3 linked regions of the Canis lupus familiaris genome follow. The protein of the gene in region 3 interacts with the protein of the main gene of each other region in a pairwise test. Links are inferred from orthologs where the notes say so. Each region holds a gene or a part of one and is shown on either strand. Other genes may lie near its edges. The genes, in order: NUTM1, GNGT1 and ZNF277.

Region 1 (4,741 bases), on a different chromosome or scaffold from region 3:
GTGGGCAGACTCAGTCATCTGATCTTGAGTGAGATTTGAAGATTTCAGCAGGAAGAAAGTCCAGTGTGGTCGATGGATGGATGGGAGGTTGGGGGTCTGGAGGTCCAACAAGCCGTGGAGCGTGACAAGGATCGGGAGGCAACTTAGATCTACTGAGGGACAGTGGGGTATGTTGAGGTGTTTGTGAGGACGGGTGGATTGGGGGTCCACTGTGGAACGTGACTGACCTGATGGGGGTTTTAGCCCTGTGCTTCGCTCCCTGGCCCGGCTGAAGCCTTCTATGACCCTGGAGGAGGGACTGCCAAGGGCTGTGCAGGAGTGGGAGCACACCAGCAACTTTGACCGGATGATCTTTTATGAGATGGCAGAAAAGTGAGTCTGAGCAACCCCCATTCTCCTGAGGGGTGCTGGGAGGCTGAGGGACAGGGGCATGGGTGATTATTAAAAGGGGTGCCAGGAGGACTGGTGTAGACTAAGGTGGGGCCTCCTGGATTTTCACGGCTTCCACCACCTTGACCCTCGGGTTTTCCTGTCCTCCCTTGGGAGCTCCCCCTCCTTCAGATCCTGAATCATACAGGTCCTTGATACTGAAGCTCCAAGAATGGGGTTGGGGTCTAATTGGTGTAAAAATGCCTTGCCAAAGGGACCTACCCATGGGGAGGTGAGCCCTCCGAGGCAGGTTCTCTCCTGTCTCACTGACCAGCTAGCTAGTGGCTGCTGATGCAGACCTTGAGACCACTCCTCCTCTGGAAAAACTGCCACAGAAATCCCCATTATCCCAGGGAGAGCCTGGTGCGTGTAGAGCTTGGTCAGGCCAAGGTCCTGGATGCCCGCAGTGGTCTTCTGGTTCTCCATGATGGTCTCCTTGGTTAAAGAAGCAATTCTGAGGAAAGTTAACCCTTTCTTCTGAAGCTTGGTTTCCATTTCTTCCCTTGTAGACCTCTTAGAATTAGTGTTCCTGGCCCCCAGGCCCGGCCTCAGGACTTGGGTCTCAGCACTGCCTCCTGGTGGGAAATGCCTTGAATTGCAGCCCCCCGGGCATTGCTTTAGGATTTCAGGCATCCTTTGTGGCTGTAGGTGGAGGCAAACGGAGCCTAGCCGCCTAGCCGGGCTGGCAGTAGGGACCCTGTTGGGCCTTGGCCGGAGGCTATATTAAGGCTGTATTAATTGCCGCTGGATACACTCCATGATGCTGGGTGAGATCAGGGATGACATAGAAGTGAAAGCCGTGGCTGTGTCCTGGAGAAGCTTGACAAGCTCTAGACCGTTCATTTATCTCAACAAGTTTCCTAAGTGGTGGCTGCTGGTCAGGGATGTTGTGAGGTTTGCCCAGAATGGTTATTGGGGTCTCTGTGAGCAGCACCCTCCCGGTGTCTGGCCTCCTCGGCACTGTCCAGGCCTTCCTCACCCTCTGCAGGTTCCTGGAGTTTGAGGCTGAGGAGGAGATGCAGATTCAGAACACGCAGCTGACAAGTGGGCCCCAGGGCCTGCCTCCTGCAGCCCCTCTGAAACTCGACCCTCCGGGGCTTGTGGCCCCTGAGCTTAGCCAGCAGCCAGGTGAGGCTCCCCACCTCCAACAAGGGCCATGGACCAAAGGCTCAGAGTGGGGTGTGCACAGAGCAGGCGTGCATTAGGGGAGGCGGCGCCCTTCTGCTCTGAGGTTCCACACAGGACACACGTGCACAGCAGGCTGGGTCTCTGGGTCCCTTCGTCCCAAACTTTTTTTTTTTTTCTTTTCCTTCGTCCCAAACTTTGACCTTGGCCCAGTGAACCCATGGCTCTCTAAGTGAGACGTACATGACTGCATAATAGCTCATCTGCCTGGGAAGTGGGGGCTGGGTCAGAGGACGTCTTGGAATCTCAGGGCTTTCCAGATGCCTCAAACAGTGCTTCTCTGAGAGCCTCTGGTCCTCTCCCGGGCCGGTCCTGCTTCAGGCCGGGCCTAGCCCATGACCATCACGGCGAACCCGGATGGCTGCCCCAACTGACCCAGGGTGGGAGGCAGAGGCCATGGCCCCTCTGCCTCTCCCCATCCCTCTCCCACCCCTCTAGTGTACATTCCCAAAAAGGTGGCTCCCAGGGCACGCGCCCCCCGCCGGCGGCAGCGCAAACCCCAGAGGCCTGTGGTCCCTGAGGCGCCCAAGGAGGTCCCGCTGGAGGCTGTGAGGGAGTACACTGACATCGTGGAAGGGCTGCTGGGGGCGTCAGACTGGAAACAGGACGACGAAGAAGAGCAGCAGCAGGACGAGGAAAGGATGTGTCCCGACCCAGGCCTTCTCAGCTACATCGACGAGCTTTGTTCTCAGGAGGTCTTTGTCTCCAAGGTGAACTGAGTCTGCAGTCTGGTTTCTGGTGGAGCCTGGGGTGGAAACCAGGGAGCTGAAGACCCCGGGTTTGGCCTGAGGCAGTGAGGAACTAGGCAGTCTTCCTGCTGAGAGGTGGCCGTGACCGTGTGCCACTGGCAGTGGTCAGGGTTAATGACAGCCCTGGGTGGGGTGGTGGTGGGGTCAGGGACACGTGGCTCCTCTTGAGCCTCTCGCTTCGCAGGTTGCTTCCCATCAGGACTCCCATTATTTTTCCTGTGTTTCCCCAGGTGGAGGCCGTCATTCATCCTCGATTCCTGGCCGACCTGCTGTCCCCAGAGCAGCAGAGGGACCCGTTGGCCTTAATGGAGGAGCTGGAGCAGGAAGAAGGACTCAGCCTTGCCCAGGTACACCTGGGAGGTAGAAGTGTCACAGTAGGAAGCTTGTGTGACTATGTCTAGCCCTACTCTGTCCTGGATGGTGGAACTCCTGGAGATGGACGGCCCCGGGGTTGGGGTTCAGGTTCAGGCCAAGCAGGCAAGACATTGTAGACACTCAGGGATGGGGAGCAGGTGTGCAGGATCAGAGCATGGGGATGCAGCCCATAGGCGCAACAGGAGCGGTGGCATCTGGTTTTAGTGCTGGGACCTGTACCACTTGCTGGCATCCCTGCCCCACACAGTACTGTCTCCTCACTGCCCCTAAGAGAGCCCTTCTCCCGGCCGCCTGGGGGACCATGTCTCCCTGATCTCCTTCTAGCTGGTCCAGAAGAGGCTCCTGGCCTTGGAGGAGGAGGATGCGGAGGCCCCTCCTAGTTGCAGTGGAGCTCCGTCGGACTCTAGTCACTCTGGTTCGGACGAGGATGAAGATGGGGGTGGGCGGCTTCGGCCCTCCCCTGGGCCTCGGGTTGCTGGGGGTGCTGTTCACTTGGGAAAGGCTGCTTCTCCAGGGGAGCGGGCTGTCGATGGCCTACAGGAGGTGCAGAGAGATGGGAATGCCGTGCCACCCCCCAGCAGCTGGGACCTGCAGCTGGACCTTCCAGCTCCACAGGGGCCTCGAGGGTCCAGAAACATGGAGAAGAGAGGGGCCAGGAAGGTGACAAATCAGATGTCCCCACATGGGGTTGACCCTCTAGGAGGTGTCATGTCACTGGGGCAGCCCCTGGTGGTTGACAGAATTGCCGAGACTCTGCCCCTTTGTTGGCAGGGAAGCCCCCCACCTGACCTGGGTTCCGGTTTGGGCGTGCGACTTGTAGAGCTGGCTCCTCTGCAAGGACAAGGGTCAGAAGAGCAGGTCCTGGGGCTGCAGACAGGACAGGGGCTAGGGGGGCCTGCAGTGCTTCCTCAAGAGATGGAGCCGTGTGCAGTGCCCCAGAAAGGCTCTTCAGGAGCCATGTGGGGGGATGACAGAGGTCCTCCGGGGGTTTCCAGTTACAATGAGAACCCCTCCCCCAGAGCGGCTGGTGACAGGGATGGGGATGTAGTCTCCCTCAGTCGGGGACTTTGGCTGAGCAGTGAGCTGGCCGCCGTGGGCTTGGAGTTGCCCTTACAAATGGAGGAGGTCATAGAGAACTTCCACAGCAGGGAGAGTGTCACCGAGCATCAGGGAGGCTGCCGGGCAGGGGGCTCCAGCAGCAGCAGTTCCCAGGGTCCTGGAGAAACCGTGGCACCTGGAGACGAGGGGGGCAGTGCAGTTTCCTGCGGAGGCACAACTGGCACGTCTGCCCTGCAGAAGAGAAACGACTGCAGCCTGCCGGGCCCCCTGGGGGCCAGCAGCCCATCCTTGAGGCCTAACGTAAACTCAGAACAGGGCCCTGAGGCTGCCGGGGATCCCAGTGGTCTGTGGGTGGAAGGGTGCCCCCCTTTGCCGGAAGGTAGGCTCAGTGCCCCCACCCTGGGACCTCCCAGAGAAACCCTGCAGCCCGCGTGTCCCGGCAACGTCCTGGTGCTGGGGGCCCAGGGTGTCCCCTCCTTTCCCCAGGCCGCCCTGGGGGCGGGGAGCGGAGGCCGGTCCCGGTCTCCTGTGTTGGAAACCACAGAACAACACGTCCACCTACTGGGTATTGGAGATGTCTGCGGCCTCCAGCTCGGGGGCCCTGGAGGCCGTGAGGACACCAGCCCCCCGAAGTTTACTTCCTCTGCCGCCCGGGGCCGGGTTGGGGAGGGCGCTGGCCTCCGGCAGCCTCAGGGCTTGGAGTCCTTCCCCGGGAATCGGGAGGCTCAGGCACGGGGGCCGCCCGCAGCCGCGTACCCCTGCCGGGGCCTGGGGCGCCCGTGCGCTCGCTGGGGCGCCAGGGCCGCCCTGGTTGTGACCGGGGCCTCCCCTCTCCGTGAAACCCGCAGCTCCGCAGCCGGGGCCAGAGGGAAGGAGGGGGGCGAGGGGGAGGACGAGGGGGAGGACGAGGGGGAGGACGCGGGGGAGGACGAGGGGCTCTCCGG
Region 2 (5,309 bases), about 33 Mb from region 3:
GTCTAGCTTATCCTGACCCCATGGGGAGCTCTGGAGGGTTCTCAATTACAGGGTTTTTCAGTCCAGAGGCAGGTAGATCTGAGCTATTAACTATTAGGCATTATCAGCCAGCCATGTGCTATACAGGTCACCCACAGGGACCACCTAAAAGCATAGCCTCCCAGACATTACCAGTTGAAGTGGTTCCCATCAGCTAAGAACAAATCTATACAGAAAGTTTGTCCCTGGAAGCCAATACATGTAGCTGCTGGGAAAATGAACACCCCACCCTGGAAAGGGGGATCTAGACAGGGATCTGCAGTATCTGTTATGCATGATATTAAGGGAGCCAAATCATGCCCAAACGGTATCCCTTAAGAGCACTTATAAAGCTTATAAAGCTTTTCAGCAAGTGACATGTAAGGCAGCACAGTTTGAAAGTCTAAAGGTACAGAATAAGTGAGTAACCCAGCTAACATATACTGAACACTTGTTCTGTGCTACATGCCATTGCATAATCTTTATTCCTCTCAAGAAATCTACAATGTAGGTAATCATATTGCTCCTATTTCCTAGTAAACTGAGAAGTGAAGTAACTTCATCAGGGCCACACACCTAGCAAGAGCAAATGAGTGATCATTTTATTAGCAATAACATGGTAGGGAGTCTCTAAAACAGAGAAGTGAAATTCTAAGCCTTATTCCAGATCAAAACGTTTAGATTGTGCTTATATTTTAATAAGTTCCTAACATGATTCTTATACACACTGAAGTGTCAGAGCCTTTGCCAAGTGGAATTAGTTTTCTGAGATGGAGAAAAAATTGTGCAAAGGATAATGTCAACAACTAAAAATGATCAGCAAAGGTAGATATGCTTGTGAATGGTTACAGATGGTCTGAAGGCAGTGAGAAGGAAAGGAAGGATACACCTGCACATGGGCTCTCCAATACTACAATATATACTAAAATGTATATTTCCCCAAGAATATCAGTCCATTATAAGATTGAGAAGGGAAATAATATTTCCTCAAAGGTTTTGGAAATGATAACATGATGTAAATACAAGGAAATACATTAATTTCTGATAAGTTATTAGCAGAGTATTTTTAGGTAAATGTGTAATGTTGTTTGCTGAAATAGCATGTGACTTAAATATGTCTACTTTCATAAAAATATGTCATTATAAAAATTGGACTGGGGAGACAAAGGAGAAAAACAGAAGACCAAAAAAGGAGAGATTATATGTGTGATGCCACTTGGCTACAATGAAATATTTTCCAGACAATTGCATGTGGGTACCACCAGCTACTGAACCATCTTCCCCCATTGATCTAATTAAGAAGAAGAGATTGCTGAGAGTGCAAATCTTTCTTTTACAATGTACATCAGTAGACCAGACCCACTGTGTCACATTTAACCTGCTACATTTGCTCATCATTGCTTTCCAATGCATTGTGACAGTTATACACAACTTCCAGGTATTGTTTAGAGACACATCCTAAGTAAATATGCTAGTTTATTTCTGATTAGTGAGGTTGTTTGCTATATCTCCACTCTATTGGTTCATATTTCATAAAATCTATTATTTATAGAGAACTTACAATGACAGTTTTTGTATAGTTCTCTGTTAATACCAGATTAAATACTTTAGCGATTTAGGGGATTAATGGCCAGTCCTCAAAATGACCTCAAACTAACTTAAATGGCATAAATCATATGATGGAGGGGTTTGGTGCTGGAGATGAGGGTCAGAAACCCAAACTTTTACACTATGCAAAAAAAAAAAAAAGAAAAAGCAAGGAAGAGAGGCTTTGGATGTTTAAGATTATATACTGACTAAACTGACCTCTCCCCACAAACCTACTAGCAGGTGTTTAGAGTCAAATGCTTGGTTTAATCATATTAGTGAAGATTATAAAGAGCTTTAAAGTTGCAAGGCTAGTGTGCAGTGCTAGAATTGTTCAGAGACCATTCATAAGAAATCAGTTATCATAGAAAGCTAAAGCAAAGAAACAGTTCACTTAGTAAGTTAAGTGCTGAGGGAAGGGTTGGCTAATATTGACTGAAGCATGCCCAGCAATTTGGGTATATGAATTGTCTATTTTTTCAGCAGGCAAAAGATGCCAGTGATTAATATTGAAGACTTGACAGAAAAGGACAAATTGAAGATGGAAGTTGACCAGCTCAAGAAAGAAGTGACCCTGGAAAGAATGCTGGTAAACTGCTGCTCTCTTTTGAATTTTATTTTAAACTATAGATATGGTAGAACTACCAGGTCAGAAACTGTTGCAGGGGAGCAGAATTTGCCACCCCAACATATACCTCCTTGACATAAGTATTATTTTAGGCTGATTATTTTTAAGAAACAGCAAATATTAGAGAATATCTGGAAATTAAGTAAAAGTTGCCCTTCTGTAAGAGATATTTACAATTATAAGACAAGTCTCTATTTATAAGGGTATCTCCCTCTCTATACCAGGAAGAGAAGAATGACTCTAAATCTTTAGAACCTCTTATAATTAGAGAAAGCTAAGACTTAAATATGGTTGATGTAAGTGGAATTTTACTGACTACTTTTCCTGAAAACCTCCCATAATTGGCTTTCCCCCACCCAAGTTCCCAATATCTTTTGTCTTCAGCTGGAGATGATGTTTAAGGGGGTGTCTTAGGCCATTTCAGAGAGTTACTTTGTTTTCTTGGGTCTCTCCTATGTACACAAGAGGTATACATGCTATTAAATTTCTATGTGTTTTTTCTCCTATTAATCTGCCTTTTTTACTAACAGCAGTGTCTCAACCAAGAGCCTAAAAGGGTAGAGGGAAAATGGTTTGTCCTCCCCCATGCCATTCACTGGAGAGGCTCAATGTAGTTAAAAATGAGTGGTTCAGGTAAAAAATTCATCAGGTATTAAGAAAATTAATGATCATAATTATCTCTTGACTTAGACTCTAGAAGTTTGGCAAATTATTTTCCATGGGCCAAATCCAGCCCTTAGCCTGTTTTTTTTGTTTTGTTTTTTGGTTTTTTGTTTTTTTAATGACCACTAAACTAAAAATGTTTTTCTGGTTTTGTGGAGTTGTCTTAAAAGAGAGAGAGAGAGAAAGAAAAAGGAAATGAAGAATGACACCAAGACTGTATTTTAAGCAGTAAAATGAAGCAATGCATATAGGCATTTTGTTTTTACTTTTCTAAACTGATAAGCTTCTCTTTATTTAATGCAATACTTTGATGTTTAAATACTTTTAGCCAAGACCTCATCTCCTCCAGCACTGTCATGGCTAGTCTGAATGAGTACATTCTATTCCTTCTTTGCAAATAAAAATGAGTTCAAGCACAAGAACTCCTTCATTCCTCCTAAAAACATCTAACAGATCTTGGAAATGGTTACCAAGAGTTCTCTGCCATTAAAAGGAGAGAAATGGCAAAGGAATAGGCTTCCTCCAAACAAACAGTGACTGAAGCTTGGAAAATATAGATACGTATTTTAGATCTCTTCATTTTAGGAAAGTAAGTAGAACAAAAACTCCTCCACGAGTGATAAGAGTATCTCATATTTTTTCAAAAAATCATTTTATTAAGCCAAAGCGGAAAAAAAGGAATTTGTATTATCTTCATACTTTGCTCAAGACTCTTACTCCCAATAATAATTGGAATTTTGGCTTCTTTTCTATTTATGATTGTCTCAAACTTCCCTGTTGCTCTTTCCATACAGGCAAAACATTTTGATGTAAAAATAAAATTAAATATATACACAGCACCGGAAGCTTGGAATGCATAACAAAACAGTTAAAATCTTTATCTTTATAATTTGGGAAAAATAAACTTTTGGGATAAATAAAGGAAAGTTATTTTTTCTTCCTGACTTGAAAAATCCAAATGCTGTTTCATTATTTATTTACTCAGGATTGTTGTTTTGAAGGCAATTTGATTATATTCATGTTTATTATTCATTTGTGGCAAGCTTATCTGGGAATTTTTATTTTGTGTAAACATCACATACATCACCACCTATCAGTTTGGGGGTCCTTTTCCCTGCTACTCAAAAATCTTCTTGCATTTGGAAGTCAAACTAACTTAATATCAGACTGCCAAAACTACACACACACACACACACACACACACACACACACACATTTTAGGTCCTGAACTTATAGTTCTGATGCAGGATGGCATAGCGTCCTTATAGTATGGTCCAGGTAGACACTGGAACCGTATCCCTGGTTCAGATTCTACTTCATAGCTTTCTCCCTGTGGAACACTCACCTGAGATATATTCTGCAAAATGGGAATAGTAACAACATCTAAGTCAGAGAGCAATTGGGAGGAATAAATGGAATAATATATACAAAGCTCAGAGAACAATACTTAGGACGTAGCAAGTACTTTCCACTATTATTATTACTTTTTAATTATTATATATATTTTAATTATAATATATATATTTAAATATATATATATTTATATATATACATATCATAGTTCATACTATGCCTCAACCTATTTTGCTATCAAGGAACTAGTACTGTCAGAATAACACATCTCATTGCATACAGTTTTTAAAGCTGACAGACTTACAATGACTGCATGTCAATGCAATAGGCAAAGACTAAAGATAATCTTTGTAGTAATAGCCAAAAATAGCTACCATTTGATCTAGCATTTGTTGTATGATAGGCACTTAATGCAACCAGTGTTGTTCTTCCTTTTTCATAGACAAAGTGACTAAATTGTAGAGGAACTCTCTTAATAAATGATGATAAACAGCCGATCCAACATTCAAACCGGGGATGCCCTGAATCCAGTGTCCATGCTTTCCACCATGCCATGTAATCCTATATTAAACTATAAATACTTATAGTAAGCCTCACTGAAGTAATTTTTGAACACACACTCACATAGGATTTTAGGTAATTTATTGCTCCGTATAGCCTCGGATCCTAGGTAGACATTGTCAAAACCACCCCTCACTGACTGTAGAATTAGGACAGCAATTAAGCCTCTATTCCTGACACCTGGTTGGGGCCAAAGCAGTTGGTGTTTGGAGAAGTGGGATAAAAGCAAACCTAAATCTTAATTTTGAATTTTGAGAAGGAAAAAATGTGAATCTAAATTACTGCATATTTCAGAATTGTGTATAAACTACAAGTATCATCATATGAAGAAGCCACCCAACCAATGCCTTGCTCCAGTTAGAAATGACGTTTCCTAATATGTCGATAATGAATTTGCAGAGTTATAATCTTATGTTTAATGTTCCTGGAAATTTGCATACAAAAATCGCATAAATATTTTATTTAAAAAAAAAAACAATAAATCAGTTAGATAGCTTAT
Region 3 (4,741 bases):
AAAAAGTAGTTGGATGTGGTGGGGGGAAGTAGTTATATTTCGAATACTTCAAAAGCAGAACATGATGAACTGAGACGAGTTTCAACAGTGTTCAAACTCCTATGAATAAGCCGTCTGTTTATAACTTCAGCCTGAAAGATTAAATAATTTATATGCTCACAGATATTCATTCCTTTTTTTAGGATGCTCACGAGTTTGATCTCCTCAAAATAAAGTCAGAACTTGGTAAGTTTGATTCAGAAGTTGTTTTCCATGATGTGGCATTTTTATACACCATCCTGTAAGCGATGCCTGTGTTCGGTGTCGTGATGGGAGGGTGCACAGCCAAAATGTGTCTCTCCACAGATGGTCTCAATGGGACCGCCTGAAGCGGTGATTCACAACCATTTTGAACTGTAATATTCAAGTACGGTTTTTTATTTCATATGGTCTTTCTTCTTTCCTACATATATGAATGCTTCAAATAAAATACAAGCTATCGGTTAGTATCCATCATAAATAAGGTGGAAGGGGCTAATGGAAAGACCATGGATTTTGATGTCAGACTAGAGTTCATATTCCAGCTCCAGCACTTACTGGCTGTGTGACATAAGGCCTCAGGTCAACAGAATGTGACAGGGAGTAGATAATGTATATAAAACACCTACTGTACTGCTTGGCAGTGTAGCTGGATTATTTATTTATCACAGATGTACCCAGGTGCATCATTCTCAGTATCCCTATGATGGAAAGATTAGGGGCATGAAGATGTAAATTACTGACTCGCTAATGGATCAAAGACAGTAGAAAGCCTACTTCCCATTCCTCAGTTCACTGACTGCTTTCCTAGACTCTGGTATGTGTTACTTTTCTTTGCTCTTCTTACAGACATGTATGTACGTCAAATGCTGGTTCTACCCACCCACTGGCTATTCAACCTTGGGCAGTTTCCTAATACATGGCTATGATAATACTACCTATGTTCTGCAAAAGCTAAACGTATTAATACATGGAAACTGATTAGAACAGTGCCTAGCACATAAGCCCTATAAAAGTATTGGCTGTTACAGTTTGGTATCTATTATTATGCTTTGTAATCAGACTGCCTCTTCAGGTTGGTTAATAAAGAGAAGTGACTCAGGCACTTGGGTGGTTCAATTGGCTAATTGTCTGCCTTTGGCTCAGATCATGATTTCAGCGTCCTGGGATTGAGCCCTGCCTTGGGCTCCACACTCAGTGTAGACTCTGCTTGTCCATCTTCTGCCCTCTCCCTGCTCATGTCTCTCTCTCTCTCTCTCTCTTTTCTCTTTCCCCCCTCTTTCAAATAAATAAAATCTTTTTTTTTTCTTTTTATTTATGATAGTCACAGAGAGAGAGAGAGAGGGGCAGAGACACAGGCAGAGGGGGAAGCAGGCTCCATGCACTGGGAGCCCGTCGTGGGATTCGATCCCGGGTCTCCAGGATCGCGCCCTGGGCCAAAGGCAAGGCGCCAAACCGCTGCGCCACCCAGGGATCCCAATAAAATCTTTTTTAAAAGAGAAAGAGAAGTGGCTCCTTTAAAAAATCATAACAGTGCAAAAATGAGTCTGACTGATTCTAAAGATTGTATAAACTGTTGTTTTCAGGATTAAATTTCTACCAGCAAGTGAAACTGGTCAATTTCATTCGGAGACAAATTCACCAATGTAGATGTTATGGCTGCCATGTGAAATTCAAATCCAAAGCAGAGTTAAGGACTCATATGGAAGAAGCTAAACATACATCACTGCTTCCTGAAAGAAAGACCTGGGATCAACCAGAGTGAGTGCTACTCAACCACACATATACTTCTTTACTCTATATCCCTTACTTGTTCCTTTATTCAATTTCTCCAAACTTAAATAAAAGAGAAATATGTGTTTATTTTTTTTTAAAAAGCAAAAATCTTAGAAAACTTTTTTTTTTTAAGATTTTACTTATTTATTCATGAGAGAGAGAGAGAGAGAGAGAGAGAAAGGCAGAGACGCAGGCACAGGGAGAAGCAGGCTCCATGCAGGGACCCCGATGTGGGACTCAATCCCGGGACTCCAGGATTGCGCCCTGGGCCAAAGGCAGGTGCTAAACCACTGAGCCACCCAGGGATCCCAAAAACCTTATTTTTAAAGGAATCCCCCTTTTGGGATCCCTGGGTAGCCCAGCGGTTTAGCGCCACCTTCAGCCCAGGGTGTGATCCTGGAGACCCAGGATCGAGTCCCACATCGGGCTCCCTGCATGGAGCCTGCTTCTCCCTCTGCCTGTGTCTCTGCCTCTCTCTCTCTCTGTCTCTCATGAATAAATAAATAAAATCTTTAAATAAAAAAAGGGGGATCCCTGGGTGGCGCAGCGGTTTGGCGCCTGCCTTTGGCCCAGGGCACGATCCTGGAGACCCAGGATCGAACCCCATGTCGGGCTCCCGGTGCATGGAGCCTGCTTCTCCCTCTGCCTGTGTCTCTGCCTCTCTCTCTCTGTGTGACTATCATAAATAAATAAAAATTTAAAAAATAAAAAAATAAAAAATAAATAAATAAATAAATAAATAAATAAATAAATAAAGGAATCCCCCTTTTATATGTGTCACTAACTCTCAGATATTGTGGCATGAAGATAAAGATGAGGTATAGATTTTTTTCATTATAGTTTATTAACAATATTGTAAGCATTTTTCTATATCAATACATATCAGTTGCATTATTTTTAATGATTGCCAAATATGCCATTCAGTAGATATACCCTAATTTGCTAGATACTGAGGTTTGTTTCTTGCATTTTACTCTTATGAATAGTAATACAATGAGTATCCCTATGCCTATCTTATTGCACACTTACCCAATTTTTCATTTAAATAAACTCCTAGAAATAAAATTACTATGTCAAAGCACAACTATTAGAGCTTTTGGTATATATTTTGCATCTTAGCATTTTATAAATGTTAGGCAGTTGGTCCACTGATCCGTACCTACACAGAAATAACAAAAATTACTTTGTAGCTATATTGGAACAATAAATATAGCCTATAAAAAGTATGATACACTCTGTGTTTTATCAGGAAAAAGAAATCCTACAGTGGGGATGTGTTCTTCAAAGGGCATCGAGCCTAATCTATAATAGTACTTAAACAAATTTTTTAAAGATTTTTATTTATTCATGAGAGACACAGAGAGAGAGAGAGAGAGGCAGAGACACAGGCAGAGGGAGAAGCAGGCTCCTTGGAGGGAGCCTGAGGTGGGACTCAATCCTGGGACTCGAGGATCACGCCCTGAGCCAAAGGCTCAACCACTGAGCCACCCAGGCATTCCCAGATTGTGAGTTTTATGGGTACATCAAGTATAGGCTGAATGGGCAGCTAGCAAGGATGCTAGTGAGATTGACGTCAGCCAGTAAAGGTTAAAGTAAAAGTAATTCCAAAGTTGACACCCATACCACCTTCGCAAAATGCTGTTGGAATTGTGGGCAAGGAAACTTAGCAGAATTAATGTGTATGTTCAACTGCTAGAAACTTTTCTGGATATTTTATAGTTTGATTATTCACTGTATCTGTGGTTGTTTTCAGGTATTATTTTCCAACCTATGAAAACGACACTCTACTGTGTACACTGTCTGATAGTGAAAGTGACCTGACGGCTCAGGAACAAAATGGAAATATTACCATCATCAGTGAAGATACATCTAAACTGCATGCTTTGAAACAAAGCAGTATTTTGAACCAGTTGCTACTACATGAGGGCTTGAAAAACTAGAAGAAAATACCACAGAAGCAACTTTTCATGTTTTTCTCTTATGAGACAAACTCAGAAAAATAGTTTAAATTTGAACATCAGCAAAGGGTTAGTCCTTGGTGAAACAAATTTTTTTAAAAATACTTTTCAAAAAATAACCTGAGGACTTTTTGTATTTTTGGCTGTAAAACTCTACTATATGATCATTATAAGTGATCTCATTTCATTATACTTGATTGATTATCTGTAATAAGAAGGACCTGCAGGGTACCTGGCTGGCTCAAGTGGTTGAGCATGTGACTCTCAATCTCCAGGTATGAGCTTGAGCCCCATGTTGGATGACGAGATTATCCCCCCCAAAAAAAGTTTTTAAATAAGGAAGACATACAAATCACAAAGAAATGAAATGTTCAAATTATTTATAAAGTTAATTTCAGCCAGTAATTTCAATTTCCTCTCCCACACTCTTTCTTCATCCAGCAAGTCACAAAATTTGACTATTTGTGTAAACTGTAGAAGTAGTGACCAAAAGAAAGGAAAAATGGTCAAAGACCTGGAGAATGTACAAATTGGAAACTATTTCAGAAAAGTCAAGATCTGACTCTATTATTATTACTGCTTTCTGCCTAATGTAACCAAACTCCCTATAACTGGACATCAAGCCTCTTGTCTTCTGCAATGCATATATCACTAACAGATCAATGCCATTTTTAAAAAACAAACACATACCATTATGACATCTAACAAAATTAACAATAACTTCTTAATATCTTATGTTTTCAGTTTTCCCTAGTTGTCTCAAAAATGTCCTTTTGAGTAATATCGGTTATAGGAAAAATATTGTATGTTTCCTGATTAGATGCACTGAGGAAGAGAAAGCATCATGCTTGAGGAATTCTTCAAAAAATGCATAATGTAAATATAACAAAGAGATAGTAGTCAAACCCAAGTTGAGGGACAGTCTACAAAATAATCAGCCTTTATTCTTTAAAAGTCCAGGTCATGAAAAACAAAGACTGAAATACTAT

What was found.
Region 1: the proteins of ZNF277 (region 3) and NUTM1 interact in a two-hybrid assay, tested with the Homo sapiens proteins (2 studies listed by BioGRID). The two-hybrid records come from large-scale screens. The link is inferred for Canis lupus familiaris from reciprocal best matches to the Homo sapiens genes ZNF277 and NUTM1.
Region 2: the proteins of ZNF277 (region 3) and GNGT1 interact in a two-hybrid assay, tested with the Homo sapiens proteins (3 studies listed by BioGRID and IntAct). The two-hybrid records come from large-scale screens. The link is inferred for Canis lupus familiaris from reciprocal best matches to the Homo sapiens genes ZNF277 and GNGT1.

Annotation. Positions count from the first base shown.
Region 1 is NC_049251.1:1,026,822-1,031,562, reverse strand, and holds part of NUTM1 (NUT family member 1), read left to right. Parts: intron 1-243; coding exon 244-372; intron 373-1,417; coding exon 1,418-1,557; intron 1,558-2,052; coding exon 2,053-2,324; intron 2,325-2,593; coding exon 2,594-2,710; intron 2,711-3,062; coding exon 3,063-4,741. UniProt on the Homo sapiens protein: Plays a role in the regulation of proliferation. Regulates TERT expression by modulating SP1 binding to TERT promoter binding sites.
Region 2 is NC_049235.1:19,373,341-19,378,649, forward strand, and holds the start of GNGT1 (guanine nucleotide-binding protein G(T) subunit gamma-T1), read left to right. Parts: upstream 1-1,944; 5' UTR 1,945-2,002; intron 2,003-2,088; 5' UTR 2,089-2,098; coding exon 2,099-2,194; intron 2,195-5,309. UniProt on the Homo sapiens protein: Guanine nucleotide-binding proteins (G proteins) are involved as a modulator or transducer in various transmembrane signaling systems.
Region 3 is NC_049235.1:52,076,685-52,081,425, forward strand, and holds part of ZNF277 (zinc finger protein 277), read left to right. Parts: intron 1-182; coding exon 183-225; intron 226-1,604; coding exon 1,605-1,779; intron 1,780-3,547; coding exon 3,548-3,734; 3' UTR 3,735-4,741. UniProt on the Homo sapiens protein: Probable transcription factor. Involved in modulation of cellular senescence; represses transcription of the tumor suppressor gene INK4A/ARF, perhaps acting via the Polycomb group (PcG) complex PRC1.